Xenopus tropicalis: one gene and its partners. The protein of the gene in region 5 interacts with the protein of the main gene of each other region in a pairwise test. Links are inferred from orthologs where the notes say so. Each region holds a gene or a part of one and is shown on either strand. Other genes may lie near its edges. The genes, in order: map2k1, pogz, mrrf, l3mbtl3, banp, fam117b and ppic.

Evidence for each region.
Region 1: the proteins of banp (region 5) and map2k1 interact in binary tests that used the Homo sapiens proteins (3 or more experiments, as listed by UniProt). The two-hybrid records come from large-scale screens. The link is inferred for Xenopus tropicalis from reciprocal best matches to the Homo sapiens genes BANP and MAP2K1.
Region 2: the proteins of banp (region 5) and pogz interact in binary tests that used the Homo sapiens proteins (3 or more experiments, as listed by UniProt). The two-hybrid records come from large-scale screens. The link is inferred for Xenopus tropicalis from reciprocal best matches to the Homo sapiens genes BANP and POGZ.
Region 3: the proteins of banp (region 5) and mrrf interact in binary tests that used the Homo sapiens proteins (3 or more experiments, as listed by UniProt). The two-hybrid records come from large-scale screens. The link is inferred for Xenopus tropicalis from reciprocal best matches to the Homo sapiens genes BANP and MRRF.
Region 4: the proteins of banp (region 5) and l3mbtl3 interact in binary tests that used the Homo sapiens proteins (3 or more experiments, as listed by UniProt). The two-hybrid records come from large-scale screens. The link is inferred for Xenopus tropicalis from reciprocal best matches to the Homo sapiens genes BANP and L3MBTL3.
Region 6: the proteins of banp (region 5) and fam117b interact in binary tests that used the Homo sapiens proteins (3 or more experiments, as listed by UniProt). The two-hybrid records come from large-scale screens. The link is inferred for Xenopus tropicalis from reciprocal best matches to the Homo sapiens genes BANP and FAM117B.
Region 7: the proteins of banp (region 5) and ppic interact in binary tests that used the Homo sapiens proteins (3 or more experiments, as listed by UniProt). The two-hybrid records come from large-scale screens. The link is inferred for Xenopus tropicalis from reciprocal best matches to the Homo sapiens genes BANP and PPIC.

What each region holds. Positions count from the first base shown.
Region 1 is NC_030679.2:117,157,153-117,160,793, reverse strand, and holds part of map2k1 (dual specificity mitogen-activated protein kinase kinase 1), read right to left. Parts: intron 3,213-3,641; coding exon 3,002-3,212; intron 2,888-3,001; coding exon 2,741-2,887; intron 2,460-2,740; coding exon 2,382-2,459; intron 2,187-2,381; coding exon 2,135-2,186; intron 1,573-2,134; coding exon 1,448-1,572; intron 1-1,447. UniProt on the Homo sapiens protein: Dual specificity protein kinase which acts as an essential component of the MAP kinase signal transduction pathway.
Region 2 is NC_030684.2:144,795,314-144,799,740, reverse strand, and holds the start of pogz (pogo transposable element with ZNF domain), read right to left. Parts: upstream 2,938-4,427; 5' UTR 2,730-2,937; intron 2,606-2,729; exon of another isoform or gene 2,584-2,605; intron 1,308-2,583; 5' UTR 1,254-1,307; intron 1-1,253. UniProt on the Homo sapiens protein: Plays a role in mitotic cell cycle progression and is involved in kinetochore assembly and mitotic sister chromatid cohesion.
Region 3 is NC_030684.2:36,483,890-36,488,201, reverse strand, and holds the start of mrrf (ribosome-recycling factor, mitochondrial), read left to right. Parts: upstream 1-1,394; 5' UTR 1,395-1,424; intron 1,425-2,782; exon of another isoform or gene 2,783-2,803; intron 2,804-3,046; 5' UTR 3,047-3,054; coding exon 3,055-3,208; intron 3,209-3,319; coding exon 3,320-3,475; intron 3,476-4,312. UniProt on the Homo sapiens protein: Responsible for the disassembly of ribosomes from messenger RNA at the termination of mitochondrial protein biosynthesis. Acts in collaboration with GFM2. Promotes mitochondrial ribosome recycling by dissolution of intersubunit contacts.
Region 4 is NC_030678.2:83,384,397-83,388,668, reverse strand, and holds the start of l3mbtl3 (lethal(3)malignant brain tumor-like protein 3), read right to left. Parts: upstream 2,919-4,272; 5' UTR 2,882-2,918; coding exon 2,817-2,881; intron 1-2,816. UniProt on the Homo sapiens protein: Is a negative regulator of Notch target genes expression, required for RBPJ-mediated transcriptional repression. It recruits KDM1A to Notch-responsive elements and promotes KDM1A-mediated H3K4me demethylation.
Region 5 is NC_030680.2:65,883,078-65,886,718, forward strand, and holds part of banp (protein BANP), read left to right. Parts: intron 1-3,262; coding exon 3,263-3,502; intron 3,503-3,641. UniProt on the Homo sapiens protein: Controls V(D)J recombination during T-cell development by repressing T-cell receptor (TCR) beta enhancer function. Binds to scaffold/matrix attachment region beta (S/MARbeta), an ATC-rich DNA sequence located upstream of the TCR beta enhancer.
Region 6 is NC_030685.2:52,491,308-52,494,948, reverse strand, and holds part of fam117b (protein FAM117B), read right to left. Parts: intron 1,796-3,641; coding exon 1,649-1,795; intron 1,435-1,648; coding exon 1,363-1,434; intron 480-1,362; coding exon 269-479; intron 1-268.
Region 7 is NC_030677.2:169,409,252-169,413,572, forward strand, and holds the start of ppic (peptidyl-prolyl cis-trans isomerase C), read left to right. Parts: upstream 1-1,503; 5' UTR 1,504-1,611; coding exon 1,612-1,710; intron 1,711-4,321. UniProt on the Homo sapiens protein: PPIase that catalyzes the cis-trans isomerization of proline imidic peptide bonds in oligopeptides and may therefore assist protein folding.

The DNA of each region.
Region 1 (3,641 bases), on a different chromosome or scaffold from region 5:
TAGTAAGTACCTCTTGCTACCCCAGGTTGGTGTCCATTTTTCTGGTTCTGTGTGTGTGTTGTAGAATGTAATTTTCTAAGAAAATTTTGTTTTTTTTACAACTGCTTAGCTTTTTGTTAAGCAACTTTTCAGTAGGGTCGCCACCTTTTTTTGGAAACACCAGGCTTCCTATATTTTTAACTTTTTTCCCCTTTTAATAACATTGGCATAAAGCATCATTTTTACTGCCCAGGCTGGTAAAATAGTGGCCATGTGGCAACCTTACTCTCCAGTTTGGATCCTAGAAGCCAGATAGCTGTTGAAAGTCCAATGTACCTTGGTAACCAGGCAGTGGTTTGAATTAGAGACCAAAGAACAAATAGGAAAGGGCCTTGATAGAAAAAGAAGTCATAAAAAGTAACTCGGAACAACAGTTTTTTCCCCCATTTGAAAGGTGAAAGAGAAAGGTAAACAATTTAAAAACTATAAAGGAAACAAAGGAAAAGAATGCAAAAAGGCTGCTAATAGGACATTCTATTCTTCTGAAAATTAACTTGAGATTGAATTACCCATATCAACTTCCTTTTACTACTTCCACAATTGTTCTGAAGACCTAAGAAAGTTAGCAAACGGAAGTACTTTATTTGTTCTGCACTAACTGCTGCAAGGTGCACAGAACAGGGCTATTAACAAATTCCTTGCTTTTGAGTCTGCATTACTTCATGGGTACCAAGATGACTTACCTGGTTATAGGAGTTCCTCCCTAACTTATACATCTATATCCACCCCTACACACATACAAACCTTTGTAACTGACCAAGTGTATATGCACTTTGCTTTGTAGCATTACATAATATATACACCATCTGTAATGTAGTAATTAGGGCAGACTCCTTCCAGAATACAAAGAACAAGCATCACCACCCCCAACAGCCAGAATGTGACGAGCTGTAATTACAAACACACACACACACACACACACACACACACGGAGCATTGCACAGTGTGGGAGGGCATTCTCCATCTGCTGCCTGACACACAGTGTGAACACACGTGACTCTGTGCAGAGTGCAGTCGATGCATAAACACATAACATGGCAATAGGAGATCAGCTCCAATGACTGTAACATGTTTCAAATGTATATTTACCTGAAAAATTCACACATTATTGCAAATTCACCATGGAAGGGGTAGGACCATGTTTATTAATATACATTGAGAAAAATGTGGTGTGTTATGGTTTGGGACCCTTGGGGTGTTCAGATCCTAAGAGCAGTAAGATGTATATCAAAGTGAATCTGCCTCAAATAATAGAAACAGCTTTACAAAACCCTTACATGACTACAATTAAATTAATGTACATTTCGTATTTGGGAACCCCTGTGCAACATTGTATTTTCACAAGCACTTAAGAATAGCTGTCACTGAACATATGCTCTGGGGTGAAGAGGAACTGGAGGACACTTACTGACATATAGGATCTTGTCCCAACAAAGGAATTTGCCATGGAGTCTATTAGCTGCCCGCTGACTCCAAAGTCGCAGAGTTTTATCTCTCCCCTAGAGTTGACTAGGATGTTAGAAGGTTTCACATCTGCAAAACAAACAAAAAAAAAAAAATGACTTTTAAAAGGGACATATACCTAACCCAATAACGGAATGTAAAATTGGTAAAAGTGTGTGGGGGCTGGGTAGAATGGCAAAGCTTATTTTATTGAAGCAGGAAGCCTCTCTTGATGCTTTCCTGTTCAGTTCTATTGCTTAGTGACAGGATCAATAGAACACATCCTGATTCAGAAAATAAAGCTAATGTTGTTTAGCAAGGTTGTTACTAAAGAAAATAATAACATTGCAAAGGGGCTCATAAAAGCACTTTGAGCTATTAAACATTAAGATTTACGTAGGGTATATGCCTTTATGCTACTGGAAGCACATTATTTCTCCTCAAACACCTAATCCTAGTTAATAGGAGACATCTCTCTATATAAAGCCATTGTGGTTGGCATGGCACCATTAGTGCTACAGTGAGTTTTTTTTATTGTTACGCTATAACAGCGGTTTTCAATACAGAATGATCTTTCCGGTCCTAAGCTGAACATTTTAAAAGGCGTTATACATCAATGAGTCAATGAGGGCCCTTCCATATAGAAACTTACCTCTGTGCATTATCTTATGCTTCTCTCTCAGGTAGGTTAGACCTTTTATCACCTGCAGTTAGAAATGGATATCAGAATTTGACAGGAGCAAGTGTAACACATGACATTAAAACTTGTAGTATAAATTACAGCTTTTACTTTCCAGGATGCCCTCTATATGAATGAGCATATAATTGGAAGGATTTGATTTTGTTGGATAGTTTTCTTATATATATAAATCACAAATTTGCATTTGCTAAATACTCACTGCAATGCTGACTTTTCCCAAAATTTTCTCAGGGATTTTGCCAGCTTTCTTCAAAACCTGATCAAGGGAGCCTCCATCCTGCAGGGGCAAAAAATAGAAGATCAAGCAAAGAAAATACAAGTTTACACACAGGCCGATTAGTTGCCGCAACTTTTAATTAAGCCAGTAAGACTTTTCAAAGCAGCGACTAATCGCCCTGTGTGTCTTCGCCCTAAAGGTGTACACCTTGTATAGATACAGTCCTGAGTGTATCTGATGCCTCAGCTAATGACTAGAGCACAGTTTAAATCTCCTTATCATTAGCTCATTATCCCAAAGGCTCTGAGCTCTGGCCTTTCAAGTCCCTCCCTAATTCTCACCATGTGTTCCATACAAATGCTGATCTCTCCGTCACTGTAGAAGGCCCCATAGAACCCCACAATGTATGGGGAGTTACATTCATGCAGAACCTGCAACTCTCGGATAATCTGATTTCTGATTGCAGGCTTTATCTCCAGATGAATTAACTGCCAGAAAATAATAGAATATGTCAATCATTGTATTCTTATGCACAAATTAATAACAAATTCACGTTTTCCTTCTGTCTTTATTTCTACTTAAACTCCATTCAAAAATCTCACCTTCCTGGCCATAATCAAGCTAGTCGGCTTGTGGGACACCTTAAACACCACTCCTCCATTGCCTGCTCCAAGCTCCGACACTTTCTCAAAGTCATCATCCTTCAGCTCCCCAACTTTCTGCTTCTGGGTGAGAAAGGCCTCTAGACGCTTCCTCTGCTGCTCATCCAGCTCCAGCTCTTCCAACTTTTTCTGCAGAGCTTCAAGGTTTGTCCTACAAAGAGAAAAGGAAAATAAGAAATCTCAAAGGAGTTTTATGATTCTATAAAAGCAGTGATCCCCAACCAGCTGCTCGGGGACAACATGTTGCTCACCAACCCCTTGGATGTTGCTCTCAGTGTCCCCAAACCAGGTAGTTATGTTTGAATTCCTGACTTGGGGGCAAGTTTTGGCTGAATAAAAACAAGATTTAGCACCAAATAAAGCCCCCTGTAAGCCGATAGTGTGCATTGAGGCTACCTAATGGCCAATCTCTGCCCTTATTTGGCACCTCCATGAACTTTTATGGTGCTTGTGTTGCTTCCCAAGCCTTTTTACATTTGACTGTGGCTAACGAGTAAGAAAAGTTGGGGACCCCTGATAAAAAGGATCAGGGTTGCAGGACATGTGGTTTCACTTTATGGGGTCTGAGCTGACCTGTAAT
Region 2 (4,427 bases), on a different chromosome or scaffold from region 5:
AATGTAGGGGTTTAAATCTGATTCAACCAAAGTCCTTTATGTTTCACTGAAACAAATATACTATAAAAACAGAGGGATGTGCCAAATCCCAACCCCAAAAGACGTGACCCCAGAGCTGACACGCGTTTTGGGTTCTGTTAAATCTGTAAAACACAGAGCGCCAAATGAAGCAGGGCGTGGCTTCCCTATGCAGACTCCGCCCATTATAACCAGCAAATGGGGGGGGGGGGGGGGGTGAGAGTTTAGTGTATCTGCCATGCTGAAATAAAGACCCACGTGGAACCCCATGAAAATTCTGAGGAGACCTAAATGCAAAAGAGTCAGGGTGTTCTTGTTGCCACAAAGTCAGTTCCGGGGTATGGACTGGGGTATTAGAGGCAGTAGGCATTCTGCAACCATGCTTGGGGGCTACATATACCCCTGTACTGCTTCATACTCATACTTTGGGGTTTATAAATCCTTCATGGTTCCATTTCAGGGGCTGCTGGGAAATGGAACAACTAATGTACCAACTGTAACAGTTGCTATGGGTCAGACGTTAGTAACGCTCAGGGAGCATACTCAGTAGGGGCTGAAGGGGCTGCTGGGAAATGGACCAACTAATGGACCAACTGTAACAGTTGCTATGGGACAGGCATTAGTAACGCTCAGTGAGCATGCTCAGTAGGGGCTGAAGGGGTTGCTGGGAAATGGACCCACTAATGGACCAACTGTAACAGTTGCTATGGGACAGGCATTAGTAACGCTCAGTGAGCATGCTCAGTAGGGGCTGCAGGGAAATGGACCAACTAATGGACCAACTGTAACAGTTGCTATGGGACAGATGTTAGTAACGCTCAGGGAGCATGCTCAGTAGAGGCTGAAGGGGCTGCTGGGAAATGGACCAACTAATGGACCAACTGTAACAGTTGCTATGGGACAGGCATTAGTTATGCTCAGTGAGCACGCTCAGTAGGGGCTGAAGGGGCTTCTGGGAAATGGACCCACTAATGGACCAACTGTAACAGTTGCTATGGGACAGGCATTAGTAACGCTCAGTGAGCATGCTGAGTAGGGGCTGCAGGTAAATGGACCAACTAATGTACCAACTGTAACAGTTGCTATGGGACAGACGTTAGTAACGCTCAGGGAGCATGCTCAGTAGGGGCTGAAGGGGCTGCTGGGAAATTGACCAACTAATGTACCAACTGTAATAGTCCAACCAATAGTCCAACCTCCTACATACAGCGACAGAGCCGAGAGTCCAACAGTACCTTCTATTTGATCCCTGGACACGGAGAATTCAGCTGCAAGTTCTGCCTTTAATCCTAAAAACATCAAAAATAAATAGAAATCATTATTTCGCAATTATGGTTCATTTACAATAACCCAACAGAACTCGGCTCCCCGGTGCTCTGGGCCCAGCGCCCGGTACACATTGTGCAACTTCCAACGAAATTCCGTTTGGGGCTCAATTTGGTATGATCCGAGGGCAGAACAAGAACTTTGTGCCCAAAGGTAACCATGGTAACGACCCAGAGTTCCTATATCCCACAGGAGAGAATATATGGACACAAACGGAATGGACCTGCTGGTTTCCCTTTGGGCTAAACATTAATCTGTAACAATGGCCCCTTTATTGGAGCTCCCTATAGATCCTCTCAGGTCCCTGTCTGGGTTTCATATGAGGGGTGGGCGTGTCCCAACGGTCCCTGCCAGAAGCACAGTAGGAGTGGGAGAACCAATCACAAGCACAGACAGCCTTCGGGTCCCTATCAGGTCAGCCTAGCTGCTGATTGGTTCCTGTGCTAAGGTGAAGTGGGCGGGCCTGGGAAAGGAACCAGCAGGAAGTGGGACAGATGGGCGGGACTAGTGGAGTTTTATAAAGATATTTTCAATAAATACACCCAAAACACTACTTTTTAAAGCCCATTCCTTCTATAGGGAGATAAGTACAATTCATATGTTTTTTTCACGCAATATTTCCCCTTTAAACCCTAACAGGTTCCAATTTCATTGGCTAAAGCCGGAGATCACGGATTGGGCAACTGGATTCGCATAAATGCGGTTCTACGGCCACAGAGTGAAACCCGCGGGGCTGGGAATCCCTTCGGCCTGAGGAAGGGGGCAAATAAAGGCCCAAACGTTGGGCGCGCACATCTCTATGATATATATATATGGGCCAGTTGGCCAGTACATGACAGGGATAGCTGTGTGCATTCAGGCAGCCATATATATATATATATATATATATATATATATATATACACACAGAGTCAAACCCGCGGGGCTGGGAATCCTTGCGGCCTGAGGAAGGGGGCAAATAAAGGCCCAAACGTTGGGCGCGCACATCTCTATGATATATATATATATGGGCCAGTTGGCCAGTACATGACAGGGATAGCTGTGTGCATTCAGGCAGCCATATATATATATATACATACACAGCAATATAATAATAATATAGTTGTGCCTGAGGGGCCCCTTGGTGCTGCCATTGTCCCACCCCTCACTTGTGTGAGCCCCCCATTCCCCTTGGTGCTGTCCCACCCATGGGTGCTGATGCTTACACCCCACTACAGACTCACAGCAGGGAGCCCTCACCCCTACACCATGCTCCTCCTCACAAAATAATCCCCATGAAGCAACATGGAGGTGGAAGGTTACATTGTGGCCTGGACTCCCGCACCCCGACACTGCAGGGCCCCAGGGCCTACCCGTACATCCTTCCCGCCCACTCGGCCTCTTACCTCCTCCTACTGCCGCGCAGCCCCGTTCGCTCCCAGGCTCGGTCCCGCCCCGGGGTTCCCTCCCCCCGGTCACACCCGCCGGACACTAACCGCCAGCTGCGTACAAAGAGGGGAGAGCGGCGCGGAGGGACACGGGCCACACGGCGCGGATGGATACCGTGACTTCATTTCCTCCGCGTCTCCTGATTGGCTGCTTGCCTGAGGCGGTCCGTGACGTCACGGCTGCAAGGCCCTACCCTTGATGGAATAGACAGGGGCAGCAACAGTGTGAAATAACAATGGCTCAATGTGTTTTAATATGGCTGTCACTGCAACAATATGGCTGCTTCTGTCTTTAATCAATGGCCTCCTGCTTCCCTGTTAGTAGCAATATGGCTGCCTGTGTCAGTAATGAAAATATGAAATGGCCCAATGGCCCTATTTAAAATGGCTTCCACTTTAATATTGTGGCTGCTTGTGGTACTAATGACTGTGTGTAATAACAAAGGCCTTCTACTTCCCTATGTGTAGCAATATGGCTCCCCTGTCATTAATAACTAAAAATAACAATGGTCCAATTTAATATGGCTGTCAGTGTCATAATATGGCTGCTTGTGTCAATAATAGTGTTTAATAACAGTGTCTTCCTGTGTGTAGCAATATGGCTGCCTGTGTCACTAGTAACTGTGTGTAGTAACTGTGTGTAATAACAGTGTACTATGTGTGTCAGTGTGTCATTAGAAAGTCTGTCATAACAATCTTTCTGTGTGTAGCAATATGGCTGCCAGTGTCACTAATAACTATGTAGAATAATAATTGTCCAATGGCTGTTTAATATGGCTGTCAGTGTAACAATATGGCTGCTTCTGTCTTTAATTACTGTCATATCAATGGCCTCCTGCTTCCCTGTTAGTAGCAATATGGCTGCCTGTGTCATTAATGAAAATATGAAATGGCCCAATGGCTATTTAATATGGCTTCCACTTTAATAATGAGGCTGCTTGTGGTACTAATGACTGTGTGTAATAACAATGGCCTTCTACTTCCCTATGTGTAGCAATATGGCTCCCCTGTCATTAATAACTGTAAAAATAACAATGGTCCAATTTAATATGGCTGTCAGTGTCATAATATGGCTACTTGTGTCAATAATAGTGTTTAATAACAGTGTCTTCCTGTGTGTAGCAATATGGCTGCCTGTGTCACTAGTAACTGTGTGTAATAACAGTGTAATATGTGTGTCAGTGTGTCATTAGAAAGTCTTTCATAACAATCTTTCTGTGTGTAGCAATATTGCTGCCAGTGTCACTAATAACTATGTAGAATAATAATTGTCCAATGGCTATTTAATATGGCTGTCAGTGTAACAATATGGCTGCTTCTGTCTTTAATTACTGTCATATCAATGGCCTCCTGCTTCCCTGTTAGTAGCAATATGGCTGCCTGTGTCATTAATGAAAATATGAAATGGCCCAATGGCCCTATTTAAAGGAACAGTAACACCAAAAAATGAAAGTGTATAAAAGTAACTAAAATATAATCTGCTGCTGCTCTGCACTGGTAAAAGTTGTGTGTTTACTTCAGAAAGTCTACTATAATTTATATAAATAAGCTGCTGTGTAGTATGGGGGCAGCCATTCAAAGGAGAAAAGGCACAGGCACATAGCAGATAACAGATAAAACACTATTGTATTCTACAGAACTTGTGTGTTATCTGCT
Region 3 (4,312 bases), on a different chromosome or scaffold from region 5:
TCTCTGTAATAATAAAACAGTACCTTGTACTTGATCCGTTAGACTGATTCGGCAGCTAATCGGCCCGTGTATGGCACTACCAAGGGACTGCCTGACCAATCTCTGGCCTGAAATCGGGCAGATATCGATCGACAGGTTAAAAAATCTAGTCGGATCGGGGACCGCATCGACTCAACTTTGCCTATACCCGTCGTTATAATTCGATCGTTTGGCCCCAGGGCCAAACGAATTAGCCTGGATTCTCCCAATATCGCCCACCCATAGGTGGCCATTTTCTGACCCTGTATAGCTGCCATGTTTGAGTCTACTACAATGCACAAAGCTTCCCGTCCTGTTGCTGCCATGTTTAGAGTCAGTACCTCAGAGTAATCCTATTCCTATGAGAGAAGTAATGAGATAACTCATTCACTAACTAGTACAGGTATGGGATCCCTTATCCGGAAACCAGTTATCCAGAAAGCTCACAATTATGGAAAGGCCATCTCCCATAGACTCCATGTTAATCAAATAATTTTAAAACTGATTTTCTTTATCTCTGTAATAATAAAACAGTACCTTGTACTTGATCCCTTAGACCGCTACCAACGAGACTGCCCGACCAATCTCTGGCCTGAAATTGGCCAGATATCGATCGGCAGGTTAAAAAATCTAGTCGGATCGGGGATCACATCGGCTCGTTGATGCGGTCCCCGGACAAACTTTGCCTATACCCGTCGTTATAATTCAATCGTTTGGCCCCAGGGCCAAACAATCGAATTAGCCTGGATTCTCCCATATATCGCCCACCCGTAGGTGGGGGATATCGGGAGAAGATCCGCTTGCTTCTTAAGGTGTATGGGGACACTAAGATATAATTATTCCTTATTGGAGGCAAAACTATTCTATTGGGTTTAATTAATGTTTTATTCATTTTTTAGTAGACTTAAGGTATGGAGATCCCAACTACAGAAAGACCCCTTATCCAGAATACCCTTGGTCCTGAGCATTCTGTTTAACAGGTCCTAAACCTAAAAAGAAAACCTGAGGCTTTTGTTCTTATTGCAAAGCTACATATTTACACTTTACCCAACGGCATTACACTGGTAGTAAGGGAAGATAAGGCTGCAAAAGATTGCAGTTATAGGCCATACACGACAGACGGAATTTCAGCTGGGAACAAACAGGGTGTCATTTCCCCAATACCCAACATTCACCACACGAACGAAAACACAGTTTAAGAAAAAAATAAATACCTGCTACAAAACGAATAGAGCTCTACAATGTCATACAGCTCTCGCTAGCCTCCTCTCTCCCAGATATCGCCGCAAAGGTTCAGCTTCCAAAGCAAATCTTTCCACTTGCTTACGTCACTGCAACGGGACCGCACTCAGGGGCGGCGCATTTTCATGACGTAAGGAAGGCAGACAAGCATACCAAAGGCGAAGGTGGGACGGGAATTATATCATCTATTAAAACGCTTATTTGGTTGGGTATTATTGGTATATTATTGTGTCTTTTCTGAAGCCTGAGGTTTATACAACTCATGATGATGTATTAGTTGTGTGGTAATATCATCATGGAGTTGTAATACAACTTGCAAATGAAAGAATTGTTTGGGGCTCACAGAAATGATTTCCACATGTGGTAGGGCTTTCTAAATAAAAAGCAATGTTATCGTTGACAATACACTACCAAAAATGTATTGGTAAAGCTGTATTATTGTGTTGGGTCACTGACTCCCTTTTGGACTCCTATAAATGCAGAAATTGGCAGCAGGTAGAAGTCATTAGTGAGGCTAGTGCATTATATTTGCATAGTGCTAATTATATTGTCAACCATTAGGATAAGTGAATAATGACAACCAGCACATGAACAGTTCAGTGTAAAAACGAAACTGGGTAAATAGATAGGCTGTGCAAAATAAAAAATATTTCTAATATAGTTAGCCAAACATGTAATCTATAAAGGCTGAAATGGGTGGGTGTCTAACATAATAGCCAGAACTTCCTCCTGTCAGCTCTCTAATCTCTTGGTTAGTGACTTGAGGGTGGCCACATGGGACATACCTGTTCACTTAGTTTGTTTTTGATCCTGAGCACACAGGTCAGATGGAAAAGCAAATAGTTATGTCCTCAAGTCATTGATTGGTTACAGGTTAGAGAGCTGCTAAGGAGGAAGTAGTGTTCTGGCTACACTGAACTGTTCCTTTAAGCCTTATCTTTGTGATAATTTCTAACTGCTGCCAATCTCTGCGTCTTTATGTGTACTGTAAGCAGTACCCACTTTGCAAAAGGTGGACATCTCTTTTAAATGGCCATTTTAAAAATGGATTCGATTTCTGCCCCCACTTCTGATGGGCAGATCATTGCAGAACCTAAGGGTTTATGTCAACAAGTATTTTTCAGCGGTTACCCCAAATTAAATCCTTCCTTGCCCAGTAAAAGGCCCTTCACCTGCTATTGGTAATTAACACTCAAACCCCAACATATCTGCTCTATTGAAACACACTCTCTGATGAAATTCAGACAAAGTGGAGCAAGGAACGTGGTTAGAAGCTGTGGCACAATACAGCACTTTTGAGCAATCATATCTTAGATGGCTAAGAACCACTTAAGGCCAATGTACATGGCTTACTTCGACTGCACAAGAATGTCAGTTGCATTAGAAACTTCTGAAGTGCTACTAGGACATCTGAGAAGGAGAAACACAAATGTATTTTTAAGAAGTACATTTTAATTTTTTTATGGCAAACTGCAATATAGTCCATGGTGGATAGAGACTGATAGTGTGCAACTTTGTTGGAATGCAGTGAGAGCAAATGCAGGTGCATGAAAAACATATACTCTGTGTAATGCAAGCTGGCATCATATTGTGCAACATAAAACATATAAAGTAAACAATTGCCACTCTGCATTTGCTTTTATATTAATCAATCAATGCTGGGACTGCAAGTTCAAAATATTTATACAACAATAGCCAGCTGGCCAAGACCCACAATCATCTTATTAATTCAGTTTTTTCCACACTTTCATGTTTCTTTATGACAATTTTATGCATTTATTTCCAGAACAAGGCATGGCTCTAAGGTGCTTGTGTAGACTGCAGCCTGTGGCACTCCATTTCCGAACAGCAACATCATTGGGACCGCAGAGAAGTGCTTTAGCAGTAAAATCGCAAGAACATTCTATAGCCTTTATAAGTAGGCACCTTGCTACTAAGAAAAGTAAAGGTATGTTGTTGTCCTCAGCAACTGAAGGGATAAATATTTAGCATTTTTGTTAAATGGGAACCTTATGCTATACAGAGAAATAACTAGTCCCATTACTGTGTTTAAATGTAGCCAAAAGTAAAGGACAAGTTCAAGCAAGAGTAAATCTAAATGCTGCCCTTGTTGAAGACATTATTAACCTGGAAGACGTGAAACAAGAAATGAAAAGCATACTGGAGAATCTTAAAGAGGATTTTACTAAAAACTTAAGTATTCGAACTTCCCCAGGTTAGTGAGTCATTTCCCACATATATGAATTATTCTAGAACTGTGCAGTGACAAAACTGTTCATCATGTACCTGTAAACAGACCATTTTTCAGGTTAGAATATAGTAAATATTTACAGTTTATGATGGCTCACACACCTTGCATTGAAACTTTAATTTAATTTATTACCAGTACAGATATTAGAAAAAAATAAAAAATGTATCCGGAATTAAAGATGTTATTGTTCATTTTCACAGAAGGCCTTCTTTAAATAATCAGTTTGTGAGATACATACTTCAACAGGATCATAGCAAAATAAGAATTTAATGCATCTATTTCCCTCCTCAAGTACCATTAATTCAAGTATGTATGCTGTGGAGTGCAGTTTTTAGCATTCACACGATAGCAACATATAGGGGGTTATTTATCAACGTTGGTATTCTTTTCTTTTCATGATTTGAGTTTTTTGTGTGTGACAGTGTGCTTAGAAAACACAGCTGTCCTGCCTAAAAATGTATGGCAATTTTTTTAATTTGTAGAAAGAAAAAAAAAAAACATTTTGAGAAATAACCCCCATGAATTTAACGTTTCCCAGAAGGTCTGTACTAACAGATACAGAGGCCAAGAAAAGAACATACAACTTTAAAATCTCCCCATTACCAGTACCATATCGTTTGCTTTCCTGTCTTGTGACAGCTTGACCTCAATGGCCGAACCTTTTTGGCCTCACTGGGTTAGGCATGTCTGGGTTAGACATCTCTAGGAAGGGCATTCCACAGTCTCACTGCCCTCACCGTGAAAAACCACCTACGCTGCTTCAAATGGAAGCTCCGTTCCTCTAATCTAAAGGGGTGACCT
Region 4 (4,272 bases), on a different chromosome or scaffold from region 5:
TTGGCTTTATCCATCCCCAAAACATTCTTCCAGTATCCTTCTCATTTGCCCCCATCATGTAATAACAAGTGGTGGGGGCAAAGACAAGGGAGCGCAGAGTAGGAGTAGGCAGGAGAGGTACCTGCCTGGCACACCCATTGTTGCACCCTAGGCAGGTGCTTCTTCTGCTTACCCCTAGTTCCGGCGCTTCCCTGGTTTCCTTTGTAACTTCTCGGACTATAAGACACCTTCCAGATGGAGTTATTTTTGATGGTCAACCACTTCTGGGTAGGGTAACAACAGTCTTAAATTTCCTCCATTTGTATACCATCTGTCTGACTGTTGATTGGTGGAGTCCAAACTCTTTTGAGATCATGTAATCTTTTCCAGCTTTATGGGCATCAACAACTCTTTTTTTTGAGGTCCTTAGACACCTTGTTGAGCTATGATACACATCCACAAATGTGTTGTATGTGTGATCAGGCTTTGCTGGTACCCCCTTTTTATTTTATATAAAACAGGGTCTCTAACTCACACCTGATTGTCATCCCATTGACTGAAAACACCAGACTGAATTCACCTTCAAATGATATGATAATCCTAAAGATACACTTATTGTTGCTACATGCAGATATGTTATTGGATCATTTTTTTTTCAATAAATACATGACCAAATATAATAATTTTTGTTTCATTTGTTACACTAGGTTTTCTTATTACTTTTAGGACTTGTTTGAAGATCAGATGATGTTTTAGATCAAATTCACAAACTTCCAAGCATCACTGTACGTATGTATGTGTGTGTGTGTGTGTGTGTGTGAGTATGGTGTATATGCTGTGGAAATGTGCTGCCAGGAATACCAGGAATTAAATATTGAAAAAAATAATAAATATACCAAGGAAAACATTTAAACAAGATTTTCAGATTATAAACTCATTTGGACAATGCTTTACCTCTTGCATTAGTTATTGGTTGTTTCTGTATGTAAATTTGTATGTTTAATCCATACATACTTATTATTAGTTTATAGGGCTACATATTGGTGCTTTATAAATATGTGTTAATATTAATAATTAGTCACTCACAGCACATTATAACAAGCATTTAAAATCTTTTGGTCATATATAGGAATCATTGACAAAACCTTAATTGTATCCAGTTAAAATTAATTACATATATAACATATTACATACTAATATTTTATATATATATATCTATATATATATATATATATATATATCATGAAATAATCCATGGCCGGCACACCCTTAAAATTCAAAAAAAAACCAGGTTTTTAAACAATGAGTTTTCAATAAAAAAATTTTTTTGAATTTTAAGGGTGTGCCGGCCATGGATTATTTCATGCTAAATACTCAGATTTTGGCTGTGCACCCCACAGAATACTAAAGCCTTGGAGTGCAGACACCATCAGGACTGATATATATCCCCTTTCTGACATAGGGTCAGTTGGGTTTATGTAAAAAAACAAGGATAAACACTTAACAGTATTCCTCAGATTGAGAATAATACATAATCATCTGCTTCTCTGCTTCTAATTAACAGGGATTATTTTTCACTATCCATACAACCGCTCCTTGATCTTTTGTCATGTGATATTATCCAGAGACGTGAAGTTCCTCTCAGAGGAACTCCTCAGAGAATTTATGCACCTCCCACCATGGAAGCACAGGGACTTCAAGCCCCAGAATGTATCACCTTTATATGGAAAAAGATAAGGGAGGGGTTATATGAATCTGCCAGCCTTAGGGGGATGGGGAAATGGTCCCTGTGAGCCACAGGCACACTACTGTGTATTTCCTGGATTATTAAAAAAAAAAAAAAAGAAAATTATATATGGGCAGTTCAGATAAGTAATTTCAGTTTGTGAATTTCATATATTAATATGAATTACACAGCCTTGTACAGTGACTTCTACTGTATATTGAGAGTTGGTCCCTAAGAGCCAGTAACTGACAGCTGTACAGATTGCATGGTGCAAAACAGCTGAAAAAAATGGGGAGCTACAAGGGCATCTTTGGGGGGCACAGATCTTCACTAACAAGGTGCTGTAGTGGCTAGTATGCAATCCCAACACCTGATGTCCAGCTAGGCTACTGTGTTAAGCTTCCTAAATTAGTGAAAAGTATGTTAACATCTCAAAATGAAATATATTTGTTTTGATGCATTCAGCATGCATTCCCATAGTTGGATATTTAAAGAGGTGTGCGGTGGCAAACCCTTCCATTCCAGTCAAGACACAAGTAAAGCAGAGATATACTCCTAATATAAGACTACAGCATTTATGGCTTATTTTAGGAATGTGTAAAAGTGTAGTTAATGTTACTACCTAAAACTAATAGTAAAGTTGCTGCAAGTTTGCATGGAAGGTTTTCTCTGAAAGCATTTTTAAAATCTAGTTATATAGTTTATATAGACTGCTAATTTTCTATGCTAGTATTGCAGGGAACAATAATTCTTATTATGTGCACCCCTTTCTCAATATATAATACTCCATACTCCTCAGCCAGTTTTCTGGCAATCCTGGAGCAGTTTATTGTGTTAAACTGATCAACCTGGAGATGATTAAAGTCCTGAAACATTCTGTAATAGGAGGGAGGGGGGATTGCTGCGGTAAGTCAGGACAGTGTGCAGCAGGTTAGGAGTGCTGGGGTGCAGCTTGCCTGCCGGATACTGATCCGTCACTGTACTGCTAGCTCTCTAATAAGCATCACACACAGTTTCCTGCAATATCACGGCTCTCTATTCCTCTGGCTGCAGCTATTCCCTCATTTCCCCGTTTGCAAAGCAACACTACCCCACACACGGCAAAACTCCCCTCTCACTATGCAGACCATCACTTCTCACCACTCTTCTCTCTCCCGGAGCCACCTCTTCCACCATAAGATGGCGTCAGGGGGCAGATCCTAAATTCACACCGCCTCTCTTTGTTGCTACGGTAACACAGCACATTCCCACCCACTGCCCCCCGCCAATCAAGCAGGGTAATTTAAGGGGCAAAGAGTGGGGCAATTAGGAGTTCTGTTTTATTAGTTGCAGTCTGAATGATTATAAATTTGGTATGATAAGGATAATATAGTAGCCCTATGTGGTAACTCCAAAGTTCTGAGCATTATTGAGAAATTGAGTTTTCAAGAGAAATGTAACCACATTTATTATGGAGACTGGCATTAACTAAAAAGCTCGCCTACAGGGGGCGCAAAAGTAAAATAAATAGCTGCCACCGAATTGCGTTCGATTAAGAGGAGTGGTTTATCCGTGACTGCCCGGCTATGGTGGCTAATGCGTGGCATTCCAGTGCTTTGTACAGCTACATAATAAAGCATAGCATTGAAGAACAAAAAAAACATGAGTCTAGGTTGATAAAATATGTATACTAGGGGAAAACAGTATTTCTGAAAATAATCACCCAGCAAATTAACTTTGTGGTTAATTTAAAGGACATGTCAAAACCAAAAATAATGTTTTGCCTAATAAAAGAAAACATAACTATAAGCAACTTTCCAATATGCATTTATTAAACATTTTAGAGCTTTAAAAGTAATTTGTAATTGCTATAGAAAGCAGCATTTGCTGAACCCCTGGTTATGACTTTTTAAACAATGTAGGTCAGGCTCCTCCAGCAAGGCAGGTCTGTCAGTCTGCTGCCTTGTGTTACATTGTTTCAAACCCCAGAGCCACCAGGGCAGAGAGTAGAAAGGACAGGCAGACACTGCTTTAAAGTAACAGTAACACCAAAAAATGAAAGTGTTTTAAAGTAATTGAAACATAACGTACTGTTGCCCTGCACTGGTAAAACTGGGGTGTTTGCTTCAGGAACACTACTATAGTTTATATAAATAAGCTGATGTGTAGCCATGAGGGCAGCCATTCAAGCTGGAAAAAAGGAGAAAAGGCACAGGTTACATAGCAGATAACAGATAAGACACCATTGTATTCTACAGGGTTTATCTGTTAGCTGCTATATAACCTGTGCCTTTTCTTCTTTTGAATGGCTGCCCCCATGGCTACACACCAGTGTTTATATAAACTCTAGTTATGTTTCTGAAGCAAGCACAAAACTTTTACCAGTGCAGGGCAGCAGTACATTATAGTTTAGTTTTTTTTAAATTTATAATTTTTTTGGTGTTACTGTTCCTTTAAACAGCAGCTATACAGTCATGGTCAAAATTGTTGGCACCCCAGAAAGTATTTCTCACAGAAAAGTATTGCAGTAACAGATGTTTTGCTATACATATGTTTATTCCCTTTGTGTGTATTGGAACAGAACAAAA
Region 5 (3,641 bases):
TTGGACCTTTAAAGTTTGTTCACAGATAGTTACTGTCTGATTTTGTTAGTGTTTGAGTGTTAGTGACACTCAAATGCTCCGTGGTCTGGGCAGCTGGTGAGAAGCTAAAGCTAGGGGTCATTTCAAATCATCAAGCCAAAAATGACGTCATAGATGCTGATGCTACCGGGCTAATTATTAAACTGTGATTCAGAATGCACTGGTTTCTGAGCTGTCATATAATGGACCTGAATTAATTACTAATCAGCTTCGCATTGTGACTTTTATATTGTCAATATGCAGTATTTCGTGCGTCTTTAAGTTTAGGTAACTGGCAGCAGCAGAGAGCATGTGTTATGGATCAGCAGAAAAAAAATGATAGGAATCTACTTGGGGCATCTTCAAATTTACAGATCTTTACTGCAAACAAGCTGTAGTAGCCTTGGGCTTCTACAGAATCTCAAAAAATAAAGTGCAGCATTTCTAGTCCTTTGTTAAGCTTTAGCTTTCCTATAAATCATTTTTACATGTTTTTGTAGACACCTATTCTTCAGCATCACAAACTCAACAGATTATGGATTGTCCCATATCCCCATAAGTGTTACAAATAGGGTTTTGGGCACTGGTGCTTTATATAAAACTTTATATGAAAAAAAACAATAAACAGTCTTTTAGGAAGTATGCAAAAGTCACATAATAACTGAAAATGTAGTGCCATTAAGCAAGCCCATAAAGGGAATATTCATTAATAAACTATATTTTACTAAAACATTTGCTATTTTGTTTAGTTTTAGTCTGAGTTTAAGAACAAAAATGAATGCATTAGAAGGGATGTCGTTGAATCAAATGCAGAACCTTTGGAACAAGGGCACAGGATGCAGATCCAAAACTCAATGCCAGCAAGAGTTTATTCTTTCAGCCTAGGAACTCCTCTAATACTGAGAATTCTATACTTTTAGTGACCAACAGCAGCGTTGACACAGAGCCTGTTTAGATATTAATAATATACTGCTTTAAGTTCTCAAGTTCATTAAGTCTGGATTCTCACAGAGAAAGTTTGGCCTTTCTGAACTTTTGTAACTGTAAAATAGGTTTGCAAAACTAAAAGAAGCCTTTTTTATTAAGTAAATGCTTGATTCACTGACAAATCAGCCAAAGATATTATTTAATTGCTCCAGAGACCAGGTTTATTTATGTAAGCTAGGAACGGGTTGTTTTTATAATATTAATGCAACTCTGTGTCTTGGTAACACAGCTACCAGAAGTTTTCATATAATTCCCTGAGACCGAATATCACCCAGATTTGTAATAAAAATAAACAGCCAGGCTTTAATAATAAAATACTTAGATTCCTTGAATATTTTTTTGGGCAGGTGTTTCATTTTACTTTCTCTGTTTTGAATAATGATTGACAACAACTAAACTTGCACACTAAAATCAACTTCCCATACCTTATCTGATAAGGGATCATTATTTATGGTATACTGTATTAAAAAATGGGGTATGCCTTTAATAACTATTAGAGTTGCCACCTTCTGGCAGCAGGAACTCCGGGTACAGTTGTGGAATGAGATGTTGGTGTAAGGCATGTGACAGCAGTTGGCCGGGCTATGACATAACAACCAGCGATTGGTCGATTGCCACATGAATTAAGGGGAGGCCTGTCCAGATTTCCTAATTTAGAAAAGCAGGTAGGGGGTTTTGACCTGGAGAACCTGGTTTTTGAAAGGGACAGGTGGCAACCCTAACAAATACTTAGTACACAGTGAGCAGTCGAAAAATTAGTATATAAAGCAGAATGGGATTTTTGAGGAAATGGGGCTTTCTTAATTAATGGGGCAAAAAAGGAGCATGTTTTAACAGTGTCATGCAGAACTGTGTGATAAATTCATTCAAAATCATTTGTGACCAATTGAATGAAAGCTGAGCATGCACATTTTCAAGACTTGAGAGGCTTTATTTTTCTTTCCAGCATGTTTTTTTGAGCAAGTATAATCTTTGTTTTATGATGTCATGGAATCTGCCTTCTGGGATGAAACAGCTATTTAAAAAATATAATTATTCTTAATTATTCTTAAGAAGCAGCCTTCTTATACAAAAATGTAATTTAAAAGAAAAAAATACATCCTGATGATTTTCAATATGAAGATGTATTTTCGATAGATGAATAGATAGCTAGTAGAGCAGAGTTTAATGTAGCTCAAATTATAGGTTACTGTATTTTTTTTCTTAGATTTGTTATGTGGTGTGATGCTTTTACTAGTGGTTTTTCATGGTGAACGGTGAACATAATTTGCTTTCTTTCTGGTATTCAAGAGGCAGCTACACACTGTAGTAATCTCCCCGAAATGCCATCACAGCGGCGTCTGCGATTTACATTTTCACTGGTGGAATGGCATTTCAGGGAGATTAGTCGCCCGCGAACAGGGAGATTTGTTGCGGGCGACTAATCTCCCCATGTGCCAGAGCCCTAAAAGTTGCCACTTTTCTGAGATTTTTATTTGTCAAAATAGCTAAAAATTCAATACAAACTTTAGAGGTTTTGGATATTTGGCGCCATTATTTGTGCAAGATTTCTAAAAATACACAGTTTTTATGTGACAAGTTGAAAAATGTGTGATTTTTCCCAACTTTTCTGTGACTTTTCCAGTTCAGACTTTTTAGTATATGTAAGACATTCGTAGAAACAAGTTTATTCGAATTAAAAAAAAAAAAGTTATTTTTAGTAAATCTGCCCCCACATGAGTTTCTTTGAGAAAGTCATCAAATGTGACCAAAGCTTTGTAAGAATATTCTAAATAAATTTATTAGAACTGGTGAGTGCAATGTTATGTTATATTTAATTACTTTTCTGTCCATTTAATGTGCTGTCTGATCTTACAGTACTATAAAGGCATATACTGAGTATGTTCATAGACATATATTGTGCCATGGTTCAAATCAAATGACAAGAATCTTTCTTGGGAAGCACAATCCTTATATCTGTTTCTGTTTCAACTTAAATAACAACTCAAATAATCATATATATCTGTTGTAACAGGTTAATTTTTGTGAGAGGCATGGAATCAGATATAGTGATGCAACAGATTTTCACTATCACTTCTAAAACAATGGTTTGCATCAAATATGTATATTTTGTTCCAATCTCCAATCCATGTTGTTTATGATTTAAGTCCTACCACCTTCTTTCCAACCCTCTTCTATGTATTGTTAAATGGGAAGCCTATGTTTTGTATGCATGCTAAAGCTTTTAATGGTAATATGTACTTCTTTTGCTTTTTAGAGGATTATCCTAATGGTACATGGTTGGGGGATGAACATAATCCAGAGATGAGAGTAAGAAGTCCTATAACAGCAGCTGACATGCTGCACATCAGTACCAACTGTCGAACAGCTGAAAAGATGGCGCTTACTTTACTTGATTATCTTTTCCATCGAGAAATCCAGGCTATCTCCAACTTGTCAGGCCAGGGGAAACATGGGAAAAAGCAACTGGATCCATTAATGATCTACGGAATAAGATGTAAGTAAAGTGATTCATGAACTTTACTAACGTAAGTTTTGGTTTCCTCCTGCTTTTCATATAATGTATGCATGTATTTTTGCATAGAAACTATATATGCAAAAATAGAGGTCTGCACTCTCAGGGCGTAGAGATGCAA
Region 6 (3,641 bases), on a different chromosome or scaffold from region 5:
TTCAATACACTGGTGGTTTAAAATGGAGTAACATTTGAACAGACATTCTCTAGAAATAGCAGATAGATTATATATATATATATATCTCAAACTTAACAGTAGAAAGCACTCACAGCTACAGCATCAATCAGGTCAGTGATTTATTTCAGCATACCATCTATGGTATGCTGAAATAAATCACTGACCTGATTGATACTGTAGCTGTGAGTGCTTTCATATATATATATATATATATATATCCCCTTTTAGAGACTATCGGCCAATATACCTTTGTCTCGAGGATCTGCAATATTGTCATCAGCTGGGCAAGGGCTTTCCTCGTTGCACTCATTAGAGATTGTAATGAAAGAGGCTGGTGACACGGATTGTGAGCGGCTGCTATTGTTGCTTCCGCGGTCAACCCCTCCAGGTGTCTGAGTATCTATACTGCGCAGAGCTAGAGGTGGGGGAGCACGATGTCCATCTGGGATATCTTGGGGCTATTAAAAAAAATAAAAACAAACCAAAAACTTCAAAACACCTTTTTACATGCAGTTTAGTTAACATGCATGCTTGTGACTAATGGTTCTCCTGCAAAATTCTGAAATGAGCAAGATGCATGGTGAAAAAATGTTGCTCATGTTCCAGAACCCTTACTGAAAATGAACATGCTACATTTAACTGGGCAGCATCAGTCTCTGCTCTAATGAAAGCAACAATGCACAAATATACTATTTTAAGAAACTGTTTAAAATATATTTAATACAGAAAAATGGTTGAGTACTTATAGTTACCTTATTATACTGCTGCCAGAAGCAGGCCGCTAAGCCAGAAGGGGTTAATGCTTTATGTTTCAGACACAGCAAAGCACGTACTGCATTCTACACACTTACACAGACATAACTAAATGTGTATTACAAAATTACCCACTTCTTTGTGGAGACCTTTTTTTTTTTTTTTAAATACAAATTTCAAAAGATAATGCACTCCACAGCAAAGATTTTACATAATTTTGGACTGGACAACAGTACTTTCATAAATAATACACGGCTAAAAATAATAATAATCTGCTAAGACTTGTGCATATTCGAAAAGGATACACTATAAACTGATAAAACTAAGCATGTTCATTTTCATGTAAAAAACTTAAAATGAAATAAAAACTTAGAACAAAGTTAGAACAGACAAAGAAAAAACAAGAAAACAACCTACAAACACAACACAATGTTTGAAACAGTAAAGAAGTTAGTCCTATTCTGAGAAGAGAGAGGAAAAAAAATAAAATTAAAAACAGGTCACAGCCTTAGAGGCAGGAAGTGTTTGATGGGCAGTATAACATTTTCAATACCATACAGCACTTTGTGCTCCAAGCTAATAACTTACCTTTGGGAGCAGGTGCAGAAAACCCATTGAAGTGTTCCCATTGACATCAGGAAGGCCTGAACAGTCTCCATGCTGGGAAACCACAAGGATATATGCTTCAAGATGAATAGTGGCGTATCCCACCCTCTTAAGTAAGCCCATAACATGGAGGGTGAACATTTAAAATAATATATGCTTCTTGATTCCATGTAAAGCGGAGAATGTGAATGTGAAACAGAGATGCCTTCCCCATGGTAAGTCAAACTAATCTGGGTATGGGCAGAGTTTGCAGGAAATTTTCACTTACCAAGAGTTGCTCTTCCTTCTCTCCATTTTCTTTTGTAATTATCTCAATCTCTTGGTTCAGCCCCTCTACACTGTTGCGAAATCGAGACCCAGAGGATTTTGTAATGGGAATAGTCACTGGAGTAAGTACATTTTTGGACATCGAACTCTGTAATAAAAGAGTGTTATCAAAATGATACTGAAGGAACTTCACAGCAGGCTGATTGTGGAAGGGTTGGATAGTAAAGGAACAAATACATCTGCATGGACAATACCCTACTGGAAATATAATTTGTGACGGTTTGTCAAACTTTCATGTTGCGGCATATACTAGTTTATAGGAAAGCATACTGTGGCATTTTTTCAGTATGGGCTATAAAATAATGAAGGGAATTGTCTACGCTGTAAGTTTTCTCAGTTAGGGCCTCCCTTGTCTCATCATGCTACCAAAGATTCCCCTTATCTAACAAGCCTTTAGAACCCTTCTTTTATGGGACAAACACAACAGGAGGTGACAAGGAGCATGTGTCTGTCTATCAATGAGGCTGCAGCAAATTATTCAAAGTTTAAACTGCAGGCTGAGCCAGTAAGGGCTCTGGCACACGGGGAGGTTAGTCGCCCGCGACAAAACTCCCTGTTCGCGGGCGACTAATCTCCCCGGATTGCCATCCCACCGGCGAAAATGTAAATCGCCGGTGGGATGGCATACGTGGCGGCGTGATTTAACTGAAACAGAGCCCTTACACATTCATGGAAAGGCTTAGGGGGCATAAAGTGAATCAAAAACAAACGTTCAGCTCTTAGGCGAATGCCACGCGAAGAAGCTTATGGCGCATATTTTCAGCAAGTCGAAAAACAATTGCCGAAAATGCGCTCCATACACTCCTACCTGTGCCTGCACCTGAATGAACTAAATATGCTTGGGTGCAGACACTTTTAACCGATAACTGGATAAAAACGTAAGAAAATCCAAAGGCTACAGGTGCTGTACCCAAGTATATTCAATATTCAAGTTTGGCATTGCACAAGAAGTTATGTCGATATATAAACATCCGCCATCTTGCATGTGTACCATAAAGACCATCACTACCACTATGTATACTGGGAGACAGTTTGGGCATCTCTCATTGTTTTGTTTATTTGGTTTTGTTAAAATTTACAGCAGCAAAATGTGACACCCATGTAAAACTGGCACTGGTTTTGACTGGTAGTGAAACCTTGTGGAAGGCTGCTCCCAAATAAAATGGTACCTGTGGAAAAGGTATGCAATAAAGTAATAAGCATTTTAACATAGTGAATCACCCTATTAAATCTTCTTTAAAAAGTGACACAAAGGGATTAACGCAAAAGAATCACCTAAGAATTCTGAAATTTGAAGCAGCACAAGCAGGATGTCCCCCCCCCCATTTGTACTATTACTACATCGTAAATATGTACAGCTCTGCATATACAATAGCACTATATAAAGATACATATTTATACATAAAATTTTAGCTGCCTCCAACCCCAGCAACTAAATAGTTTTTTTTGTTGTCTTTTCAGGGATGCACCAAATCCTGGCTTCGGTTCGGGATTCGGCCAAATCCAAGCTTTTTTTTTTTTGTAAGGATTTGGTTTCAGCCGTATCTGCAGTCCCGGCCGAACCAAATCCGAATAAGCATAAGCTAATTAGAATTCGGAAAGGGTTAAATGGGCAGTAAAAACCCCTTGCCATCCTAATCAGCATATGCTAATTAGGATTTGGCCGAATCCTTCTGGGTGGGTTCGGCCAAACCCAAAAAGTGGGTTCAGTGCATCCCTAGTCTAAAATTATATTCCGACTGTATATAATGTAGATAGCCAGATATAAAACATATGCATGGAATGCTACTCTGGGCATTTTGTCATTACACTGGAGGAGATTAAGTGAGGGCAACAAAATGTCTCATCTGCCACAGGCCTTCTCCAACATTTACTTCAAACCACCAGGTGAGCCGCAAGAATCCCACTCCCATCATAACAGTACTAACTGCAAG
Region 7 (4,321 bases), on a different chromosome or scaffold from region 5:
TGTGTATATACATATATAAATCTCAAAAGGGAAAACTGTACTCAAAGTTGCACTGATCAGTGCAAAATTATGAAAAGTAAAGTTACATTTCACATTCTAGTTCATCAGGATTCAAACAAATCAGCAAACCACTGAGAAGCCTTCTGTATTAAGAAACCCTTTCCCTGGCCATACAAGAGAGGGTGCAAAATAAAAAGATGTTTTTAATATAGTCAGCCAAAAGGCTGAAGTTAACAGATGTCTAACATAATAGCCAGAACACAACTTCCTCCTCTGTATCTGTCTAACCTAGTCAGCAAATTTTCTGGGCCCCCCAGGTCTGCTATCGCCAACCCCGCCCCTGGGCCGGCAACCCCCAAACTCCACTTCTCTCCCCACAGAACCAAAGGTCAAACAGACAGGAAAAGTAAATAAAACCCTTTTGGCCAAGGGGTTATTAAAGGGGTGGTTGTCCTTCAGGTTTACTTTTAGTATGTTTTAGAATGACCTATTTTTAGAAACTTTTCAATTGGTCTTCATTTTTTTATAGTTTTGATTTATTTGCCTTCATCTTCTGACTCTTTCCAGCTTTCAAATGGGGGTCACTGACCCCGGCAGCCTGTGTTGCTCTGTGAAGCTACAATTTCATTGTTACTTTTTATTACTTATTTTTCTATTTATGCTCCCTTCTATTAATATTCCCGTGTCTCTTTCAAACCACTAGCTGGTTGCTAGGTTAAATTGAACTCTAGCAACCAGGTAGCTGCTGAAATTCCAAACTGGAGAGCTCCTGAACAAAAAGCTAAATAATTAAAAAACTGCAAATAATACAAAATGAAGACCAATTGCAAATTGTCTCAGAATAGCTACATCAGGGGTCCCCAACTTTTTTAACCTGTGAATATAAAAAAGGTTGGGTAGCAACACAAGCATGAAAAAAGTCTGTATTTTGTTATTTTGTAGCCCCTATGTGGATTGGCAGACTGTACCCACAGGTGACAAGTCTCTGGAAAACACCTTCCCATTCTCTTAATTTGCTGGCCAGGGGCCCCTAAAGATAAAAAAAAACAAAACACTGCTGGCCATAGTGATGGGTCACACAGCTGAGCGGCAGTGTAAAGCCAGAGAGAGGGTGCCTGTGCTTCCCCCAAGCTAGCCATATTAGAACGAGAAGCAAACATACTGAGTATGCAATTATCATTTGTCACAAATACCCATAATACTTTCCGACCCTTTCTTGACTTAAACCAAATGCCCACAGTTATAGCAGCCTTTGGTACTAGATTTCATGCGGATGCACATTTTTTTAATTGATTTTTGACGGTGTAGGTGCCTAGAATTCTCGGCTTTAATCCTGCAACAGCGACTCTCACACTGCAGAAATATACTCTTCCGCTGCTCGGAGAAGGGTTTTTGGAGAGGCGTCCGTCCCCTCCTATCCCAGCCCCTCCTATCCAAGCCCAGCCTTCCCAAACTTGTCGCATTTCTCCCGCAGCTAAGGAATAAAGCGCAGCGTTAGGGGGCGGGGACAGCCAGGGCTAGGGGCTGACTCTGTGGGTGGAGCCGAGCTTTGCTGACGTTGCTGGCTTATCCCATACCGCTATAGTGGCGGTGCTGCCAGCTAGGCTGGAGATGTGTAGGTACCGTAGCTTGCTGCTCTTGGGGCTTGTCTTGTTCTTATTTTCCACAGCTCATGGCTACAGGAAGAGGGGACCTGTCGTGACTGCCAAGGTAACACGTTACTTCCGAACACTCCAACTCTTGAGCAAAGCCAGAAACGGGCTGCCCCACCGCCCCATCAGCCCAGTGGGTCAGTAATAGTAGCAGCTAGCCCGCCGCCCCATTATCAGCCCAGTGGGTCAGTAATAGTAGCAGCTAGCCCCCCGCCCCATTATCAGCCCAGTGGGTCAGTAATAGTAGCATATAGCTCGCCGCCCCATTATCAGCCCAGTGGGTCAGTAATAGTAGCATATAGCTCGCCGCCCCATTATCAGCCCAGTGGGTCAGTAATAGTAGCATATAGCCCGCCGCCCCATTATCAGCCCAGTGGGTCAGTAATAGTAGCATATAGCCCGCCGCCCCATTATCAGCCCAGTGGGTCAGTAATAGTAGCATATAGCCCGCCGCCCCATTATCAGCCCAGTGGGTCAGTAATAGTAGCAGCTAGCCCCCCGCCCCATTATCAGCCCAGTGGGTGAGTAATAGTAGCAGCTAGCCCACCGCCCCATTATCAGCCCAGTGGGTCAGTAATAGTAGCAGCTAGCCCCCCGCCCCATTATCAACCCAGTGGATCAGTAATGGTAGCAGCTAGCCCCCCGCCCCATTATCAACCCAGTGGATCAGTAATGGTAGCAGCTAGCCCCCCGCCCCATTATCAGCCCAGTGGGTCAGTAATAGTAGCAGCTAGCCCCCCGCCCCATTATCAGCCCAGTGGGTCAGTAATAGTAGCAGCTAGCCCCCCGCCCCATTATCAGCCCAGTGGGTGAGTAATAGTAGCAGCTAGCCCACCGCCCCATTATCAGCCCAGTGGGTCAGTAATAGTAGCAGCTAGCCCCCCGCCCCATTATCAACCCAGTGGATCAGTAATGGTAGCAGCTAGCCCCCCGCCCCATTATCAACCCAGTGGATCAGTAATGGTAGCAGCTAGCCCCCCGCCCCATTATCAGCCCAGTGGGTCAGTAATAGTAGCATATAGCCCGCCGCCCCATTATCAGCCCAGTGGGTCAGTAATAGTAGCAGCTAGCCCCCCGCCCCATTATCAGCCCAGTGGGTCAGTAATAGTAGCAGCTAGCCCCCCGCCCCATTATCAGCCCAGTGGGTCAGTAATAGTAGCATATAGCCCGCCGCCCCATTATCAGCCCAGTGGGTCAGTAATAGTAGCAGCTAGCCCCCCGCCCCATTATCAGCCCAGTGGGTGAGTAATAGTAGCAGCTAGCCCGCCGCCCCATTATCAGCCCAGTGGGTCAGTAATAGTAGCATATAGCCCGCCGCCCCATTATCAGCCCAGTGGGTCAGTAATAGTAGCATATAGCCCCCCGCCCCTTTATCAGCCCAGTGGGTCAGTAATAGTAGCAGCTAGCCCCCCGCCCCATTATCAGCCCAGTGGGTCAGTAAAAGTAGCAGCTAGCCCCCTGCCCCATTATCAGCCCAGTGGGTCAGTAATAGTAGCATATAGCCCGCCGCCCCATTATCAGCCCAGTGGGTCAGTAATAGTAGCAGCTAGCCCCCCGCCCCATTATCAGCCCAGTGGGTCAGTAATAGTAGCATATAGCCCGCCGCCCCATTATCAGCCCAGTGGGTCAGTAATAGTAGCAGCTAGCCCCCGCCCCATTATCAGCCCAGTGGGTCAGTAATAGTAGCAGCTAGCCCCCCGCCCCATTATCAGCCCAGTGGGCCAGTAATAGTAGCAGCTAGCCCCCCGCCCCATCAGCCCAGTGGGTCAGTAATAGTAGCAGCTAGCCCCCCGCCCCATTATCAGTCCAGTGGGTCAGTAATTGTAGCAGCTAGCCCCCCGCTCCATTAACAGCCCAGTGGGTCAGTAATAGTAGCAGCTAGCCCGCCGCCCCATTATCAGCCCAGTGGGTCAGTAATTGTAGCAGCTAGCCCCCCGCTCCATTATCAGCCCAGTGGGTCAGTAATAGTAGCAGCTAGCCCGCGCCCCATTATCAGCCCAGTGGGTCAGTAATAGTAGCAGCTAGCCCCCCGCCCCATTATCAGCCCAGTGGGTCAGTAATAGTAGCATATAGCCCGCCGCCCCATTATCAGCCCAGTGGGTCAGTAATAGTAGCAGCTAGCCCCCCGCCCCATTATCAGCCCAGTGGGTGAGTAATAGTAGCAGCTAGCCCGCCGCCCCATTATCAGCCCAGTGGGTCAGTAATAGTAGCATATAGCCCGCCGCCCCATTATCAGCCCAGTGGGTCAGTAATGGTAGCAGCTAGCCCCCCGCCCCCCCCGCCCCTTTATCAGCCCAGTGGGTCAGTAATAGTAGCAGCTAGCCCCCCGCCCCATTATCAGCCCAGTGGGTCAGTAAAAGTAGCAGCTAGCCCCCTGCCCCATTATCAGCCCAGTGGGTCAGTAATAGTAGCATATAGCCCGCCGCCCCATTATCAGCCCAGTGGGTCAGTAATAGTAGCAGCTAGCCCCCCGCCCCATTATCAGCCCAGTGGGGTCAGTAATAGTAGCATATAGCCCGCCGCCCCATTATCAGCCCAGTGGGTCAGTAATAGTAGCAGCTAGCCCCCCGCCCCATTATCAGCCCAGTGGGTCAGTAATAGTAGCAGCTAGCCCCCCGCCCCATTATCAGCCCAGTGGGCCAGTAATAGTAGCAGCTAGCCCCCCGCCC